Linked DNA regions of Stegostoma tigrinum. The protein of the gene in region 1 purifies or fractionates together with the protein of each later gene. This does not show direct contact. Links are inferred from orthologs where the notes say so. Each region holds a gene or a part of one and is shown in the gene's direction. Other genes may lie near its edges.

The links. Proteins that work in one complex are often made in the same cells at the same time.
Region 2: the proteins of larp7 (region 1) and nop56 purify together in Homo sapiens (affinity purification with mass spectrometry; 3 studies listed by BioGRID and IntAct, with this or other methods). This does not show direct contact. The link is inferred for Stegostoma tigrinum from reciprocal best matches to the Homo sapiens genes LARP7 and NOP56.

Annotation. Positions count from the first base shown.
Region 1 is NC_081354.1:63,790,827-63,794,577, forward strand, and holds the start of larp7 (la-related protein 7), read left to right. Parts: upstream 1-738; 5' UTR 739-914; intron 915-3,751. UniProt on the Homo sapiens protein: RNA-binding protein that specifically binds distinct small nuclear RNA (snRNAs) and regulates their processing and function.
Region 2 is NC_081354.1:189,150,551-189,154,301, reverse strand, and holds the start of nop56 (nucleolar protein 56), read left to right. Parts: upstream 1-1,447; 5' UTR 1,448-1,550; coding exon 1,551-1,553; intron 1,554-3,751. UniProt on the Homo sapiens protein: Involved in the early to middle stages of 60S ribosomal subunit biogenesis. Required for the biogenesis of box C/D snoRNAs such U3, U8 and U14 snoRNAs. Part of the small subunit (SSU) processome, first precursor of the small eukaryotic ribosomal subunit.

The DNA of each region.
Region 1 (3,751 bases):
AGATCTCCACATCATCCATCTGGACTCTAGCGAAACAATCCCAACCTAGTCAATCTCTCCTCATATGTTAGACCCGCCATCCCTGGAATCAGTCTGGTGAACTTTTACTGCTGACAACACCTCAATCTCTCTGTATTGCAGCATTCTGCAGTCTTTCTCCACGTAAATACTCTGCTTTCTATTTTCCCAGCAAATTGGGAAACCACTTATTTTCCACGTTGTATCAGCCAATTTGTTGCCCAATTACTTAATCTATCTACATTTCTCTGCAGACTCAATGCATCCTCCTCAAAACTTGCTTGCTCATTTTTGAATTGTCAGCAAATCTGGCTTCAACACACTCGATCCTTTCATTCAAATCACTGATGTATGTTGCAAACAGATAAGGTTTCAGTCCTGAGCCCCGCGGCACTCCACAACGTAACTGAAACTGACCTATTTAATCACTTTCTCTTTCCTAAAAGTTAGCTCATCCTCTGTCAGCATGGACCAGTTGGGCCGAAGGGCCTGTTTCCGTGCTGTACATGTCTATGGCTCTAAAACTCAGTCAGAACAGGATTTAACTGACAGCAACGATCAGACATAAGTAACAAATAAAGCACACCTCAGAATTACCATCTCCGATTCGGTACCTTGGGCGGGGGGTGAGGAAAAAAACGCAAGTAGCATATTCGAGCTCAAATTTTTCAGCCAAATCTCGAATGTTCCCGCCGCAGTACGTCATCAAACCGCGACACAATTACCCGAGCTCCAATAAACAAAGTGAAAATGGTGCGAGCAAAAACTGGTCATGTTTGCTGTTAATGTTATAGCGAGTAGATGGGGGAAGAAAAAAATAACAATTCAATCCAAATAAATAAAAGATAGCAAAAACAAAAGCTCACAGTCGGAATTTGGAGAAATTGGATCATAAGGTACTTGCTTTCTTTTTTCTGTATTTGAATTGATATGAACGGTGCAGCATATGATATTTATTTAGTTTGATACACGGTGTTGCTGCTGAGTACTCTGAGGTTTGGAACGTTGTGCAGGTGGCCAGAATGTGGCTCCTTCCGGGTCTGGGCGCTGCTCGCATTTTAATGCCATAAAGTCAGGGATAGCATCGGTAGGCTGCACTCACTCTCGTTCACACGCACTTCTCTCGGGGGGTTTAAACACGCAGAGGGTAAGTAGCAACATCTTTACACGCATTTGACCTAGTGGGGTTCGCAAGCGTGTGTGCAAAATGAACATCCTACCCCTTTGGATGATAACTGCTTATATTCCACTCACATGAGCCATAGACTGTTATCATCAAGCACCCTATTTACTCCAGACCCACTTTCCGGCGCTTAGTCTGTATCTTTGTATGTAATTAGCGATTCATGTGATCATCCAAATGCTGTTTAAATGTTGAAAAGGTCCCATTTCTACCACTCTTTGATGTGATGAATTCCCGATATCCATTACCAAGTCTTTAGATGCCCTCTGAACCTCATGCTGCTCACTTCAAATGCATGCCCTATGTAGTTGATCCATCTACTAAGAGGGTAGGTTTCTTCCTGTCTAGCCTATTTACGCCCTTCCTTTTTGTACTCCTTCAGTCCTTTCTGCTCAAAGGAAAACAATCCCAGCTTGTCCACTTTTTCTTCTTACCAGAAATGCCCCAGCACAAGCAACACTCTTGAATTTCCTCTGCACCCTCTGAAGAGGATTCAAATCCCCTTGTATTCAATGTTTTGATTAATACACGCAAGCATCCCATACACCTTCTTGCCTGCCCTAATGCCTTTCTGAATCTGTAGACCCTTCATAGGGTCCTAGCTTTTCACATTTACTGCTTTGCCCTTGTCAGTATTTCAAAATGCATAATTTCACACTTTTCAGGATTAAATTTCATTTACCATTATTCTGCCCATCTGACCAACCTATTTATAACATCCTGTAATCCAGTTGTCTTCCTCACTATTTAGCGCAACATCAATAGTGTCACCTACGGACTTACTGATGAAACCTTTTAGATTCATATCTTGACAATTAATGTACAACACACACAGCAAGAGGCCCAGCACTGAACCCTTTGGTATGCTGCTGGACATAACCTTCCAGTCACAAAAACAACCTTCAACTACTATGGTCTGTCTCCTGCTTCTAAACCAGTTTTAAATCTGATTTGATAATATATCATTAGTTATTTTGAATTTTCAGCATGGTTTTTTTTTGAGCCCAAATTGTGGCCTTTATTCATTTTTCTCTTGCCACTTTTAGCCTCTGTTTACATGACTAAATTCAAATGGTTTCAGTTTTAACACTGATATATTTCTGGTCTTTTGGGTAGCTGGGATATGATGACATCCTTCCAGGTTGAATTATTGATTCCTGTTCATTACTTAAATTAGAAACTATCATCCAGTGATTAGTGACCAAATTGAACTTTTTGCACCTATGTTGATACCAATAAAAAATGGCCTGTTTTCCAGTAGTTTGATTGAAGGAGAACTGTTGGTTTTCAGAATGAAGGAGGACTTTGAAAAATACCATGAGATCTCGTATGTCCACCTGAGGGGGCAGGTTGAGCCCCTTTTAATGACACCTTCCATGTAATCTGTCTTTAATTATTGGTGTAGATTTTGCTGTTCTGTTCTGTGGAGCAAAGGTTTTAACCCACAACCTCCTGACATGAAGGTGAGAGACCTATCACTGGTTAAGACTGAGATGATGCCACTGTACGTTGTTAAACCAGCTTACCAAAAGTTAAGGACAAAACTGATTGCGAGTATTGATAGGAACGTGCACTAACAATCAGCTGTTCCACCCAGCCACCAAAAGTATAGTTGTCGGTATCATAGCCAATATCTGATACGTGTGGTTGTAAAACAACAATTTCTGCTGTCACCTGTTGGGCAGACTCAGTTTTTGTGTGTGTATACAATCATGAACACTTTTAAGAGAACAGCAACTAATGCTTTAAAGATAGTAGGAACTGCAGGTGCTGGAGAATCTGAGATAACAAGGTGTAGAGCTGGAGGAACACAGCAGGCCAAGCAGCATCAGAGGAGCAGGAAGGCTGACGTTTCGGGCCTAGGCCCTCCTTCAGAAATGGGGGAGGGGAAGGGGGTTCTGAAATAAATAGGGGGAGGGGGCGCCTCCCCCTCTCTCCCCATTTTTATCTCTATCAATTTGATAACATCACATCTCCTTCTTACGGCAGGGAGAGTTTAAGATTTGACAGATGTGTTCAAAATCATGAATTGCTTTGATAGTGTGACCAATGAGAAACTGTTGTGAATGGCAAAGGGTCTGTAACCAGACAGCACAGATTTAAGACGAATGACAAATGAGCTAGAGGCAAAGTGAGGGAGCATTTTTACACAGCTAGTTGTGATCTGCAATGTCTGAAAAGATAGATACGTAGTAACATTCAAAAGAAATTCGAAATAAATGTTTGAAACAAAAAGTATTAACAGAACTGTTGCGGAAGAGTAGCAAGTGAAATTGATTAGCTCTTATGTAAGCACAATGGGCTGAACAGCCTGTTGTGCTGCAACTTGAGTTTAAGTAGAAGTTGTGAACTTGTAGCATTGATTTACAGCATAGTGAAGTCTTCTTTGTTAGAAATCATAGAATGAGAAGGGTATCTGGAAGACAGGATTTGATATAATGTCTTATTTTCTTTTTTATTACCATCTGCTCCATCATAACTTATGTTTGACCTGTTTATTATTAAGTCACTGTTTGCAAGTTTCCATGTCTGGATGTGGTATGGAGAGTG
Region 2 (3,751 bases), about 130 Mb from region 1:
AAAATGTGCAGGTTAAATGATTGTCCATGCTAAATTGCATGTAGAGTCCAGGGCTTGCAGGCTAGTGGATTAGCCATGGAAAATCCAAGACTCCAGGAAAAGAATCGGGGATGCATTTGGGTGAGGTGATCTTCATGGAGTCAGTGTGGACTCAATGGGCCAAATGGCCTGCTTCCACACTGCAGGGATTCTATGAGCCTATTTTCACCCACCATTGGGCCCCATCTCACGGGCTCATCATTGCCCATTGCTGTCACAAAGTTGCCGGAAAAGCTCAGCAGGTCTGGCAGCATCTGTGAAGCAAGAAAACAAGAGTTAACATTTCAGGTCCTCACACCCAGTTCTGAGGAAGGGTCATCGGACCTGAAACGTTAACTCTGATTTTCCCTTCACAGATGCTGTCAGACCTGCTGAGCTTCTCCAGCAACTTCTGTTTTTGTTCCTGATTAACAGCATCCGCAGTTCTTTCGGGTTTATCTGTCCCATGCTGTTTTCCCTCTATCTGGACTCTGGCTATCTTCTACACCTTCCCCTCCAGAATAGATATAAACCTTTCCATGGACTTTTGAAGGAGGGTCATGTTGAATCTCTGATACAACGAGGTGTGGGGTTGGATGGACACAGCAGGACAAGTGGCATCTTGGGAGCAGGAAAGCTGACGTTTCGGGCTGAGACCCTTCATCAGGAAAGGGGGATGGGGAAGGGTCTAGGCCCGAAATGTCAGCTTTTGTGCTCCCAAGATGCCACTTATCAGAGATAATGGGAACTGCAGATGCTGGAGAATCCGAGATAACAAAGTGTGAGGCTGGATGAACACAGCAGGCCCAGCAGCATCTCAGGAGCACAAAAGCTGACGTTTCGGGCCTAGACCCTTCATCAGAGAGAGGGGGATGGGGGGAGGGAACTGGAATAAATAGGGAGAGAGGGGGATGGGGTGAGGGCCTAGTGATGAAGGGTCTAGGCCCGAAACGTCAGCTTTTGTGCTCCTGAGATGCCACTTGTCCTGCTGTGTCCATCCAGCCCCACACCTCGTCATCTCTTGTTGAATCCCTGCTTTCTCTCTCTACACATGCTGCCAAACCTGCTGAGCTTCTTCATGTTTGTTTTAATTCACGTCCACGTGCTGGTTAACAGTGAATGCTAGTTAATGGTTAAGGTTTATGTTAGTTAGTGATTGGAGGACAATTAATAGACGCTGATCTTTACCTGGCAACCAATTGGGCGGGAGAACCAGGAGAGAACATGCCCTCTGAGCTCATTGGCTGCTCGGCATGAACGCCCCTCCGGATTGGCTGGTAGGCGGCCAATAGAAGCCCGGGGTGGCAGCGAGGCGGCCAACTGGAAGTCTGGATTGGATGCACGGCAGTTAGAGACTCCAGGATTGGCTGTTGCGGACACCCAATGGGAGACCCTAGCAGGCGGCGACCTGGCCAAAGGCCTTCGAGAACGGCCGCACGGCGGCCAATGGGAACGCGGATTACTGGCACGGCGGGCCGGATAAGAGGCGGCGTCACGTGATCGCGGGCCTCAGTCAGCGGCGGTGCGGCAGGATGGTGAGTTGGTTTGCGCGGCGGAGAGGCAGCAGCTTTGTGTGGGTGGGGAGGCCTGAGGCGACGGTCAAGCCCCACCCGGGGCCACATGGCGACGGCGAGTAGGCCTAGGGTCCGGGTCAGGCCGCGCCTGATCCGCCCCATGTGTGCGGAGGGAACTTGGAGGCCCTTTGCGAAGGAAGGGCCCGCTGGAGACAGTCCAGGGAAGTTTGAGCCGCCTCATACCAGGTTTGGAGAGATCCCGTTGTGAGGAGAGGTTGAGCCTTTACTCATTAGAGTTTGGAAGAATTAGGAGTGACTTTAGTTAAATGTACAGGATTCTTAAGGAAGTTAAACAGAAGACTGCGGATGCTGGAAATCTCAAACAAAAAATGTCTCTGGAGAATCCTAATAGGTCTCGTGGCCCCAAGCAGCATCCCACACCCCTGTAACCCGAATGTAATGGCCAGTTAACCCATCCAGACTGCCTACCGTGGGTAATTTAGCGTGGCCAGTCCACATCACCCGAGCATCATTGGACTGTAGGAGGAACCCAAAGCTGGCACTAAGCCCGGGTAATAAAATGTGAGGCTGGATGAATACAGCAGGCCCAGCAGCATCTCAGGAGCACAAAAGCTGACGTTTCGGGCCTAGACCCTTCATCAGAGAGGGGGATGGGGGGAGGGAACTGGAATAAATAGGGAGAGAGGGGGAGGCGGACCGAAGATGGAGAGTAAAGAAGATAGGTGGAGAGAGTATAGGTGGGGAGGTAGGGAGGGGATAGGTCAGTCCAGGGAAGCCCGGGTCCCTGGCACTGTGAGGGTAATCACTGAGCCGCCATGCTACACTATGCTGGCTCCAGTGACACTCCAAACAGCCCCCTCCACAGTCCGGTGATTCCTAAGCGACTTGATTGTAGAGGAATCTGCAACCGAAAGCTGTAATTTCTCAGCAACTGAAGACAAACTTTGGATTTCATTTGTCGTGAATCTGCAGTTCCCTCCTGTAGAATCTGAGCTGTTAAGGTAGTCAGAGCTGAGATTTATAACGAAGTGACTGGGGGGGAATGCAGTTATGGTGAAAATGGAGGAAAATAAGGTTCAGGATTATCGGGAGCAAATTACTGCAGATGCTGCAATCCGTACTGAAAACAATAAATGCTAAAGGCGCCATCTGACCAAGAGTCACCTACGCTTGAAGCGTTAGCTTGCCGTGATGTTTCATGGATGTTGCCTGACATGCTATGATCGCCAGTGTTATTTTTTGTTTTCAGTTCAGTATTTAGATTGGCTTGGATCTCATTCAGTGGCCTAATTCTGCTCCTGTGCCTTACAATATGGTTCAGATTATATCTCTGTGTATGTCTTCGATGGTGATGACTGTTACTGTGTCTAGCCCGCATACTTGCCTTTATTAGCCAAGGCATAGAGTAGAAGCACAACGTGGTTATAATGGAGCTGTAAATGTTAGTTAGGTCACCGCTAGGGTGCTGTGTGTTTCTGGTTGCAACATTATAGGAAGGGTGTCATTGTACTAGAGATGGTGCAAAAAGAATTCACTAGGTTGTTGCTGTGGCTGAAATGATCCAGTAATGAAGAGAGTAGTTGGCCTGGTTGCTTTCCTTAAAGCAAACTACAAATGCTCCCGTCTGAGGACAGAGGCCAGTTTTTTTTTTACTAATTCCTGCTGGGGCATTTAGCACCAGATCAGGTTCCTCCAACGCTACCTCTGATCCAGGCAGCATATAATGCACAGTAGCTCACCACCTGCGCCCAAAAGAGATTTGCTCTCCTCTTCAGACGGCAAAGGCATCGAGGCTGCATTATCTGCCGTGTCCATCTCGGATTCTGAAGTATCGTCAGTGCTTGCTGGAGAGGAATAGCCCACCAGTTCCAGAATAGTCAGAAAGGCAGTTGGGGAGCTGGGCACATTTTAATTTTGCCCTGTTTGCACGTTTGAAGTGTTCATACGGTTCTGTGCTGTACTCTTCCTGGAAGTTTGGGACAAGGTTGAAGGAACTGCACTCGATATGCATCCACAGCTTTTGTTTTATTATGCTGTTGTAAAAAGTCATGATTTAGTCTCCTAGTTACCTGAAAGGCTGAAGTCAGTAACTTGAGCAAATTGTGGAGCTGGATGAACACAGCAGGCCAAGCAGCATCAGAGGAGCAGGAAAGCTGAGGTTTTGGGGCCAGGCTCTCTTCAGAACTGGGGGAGGGGAA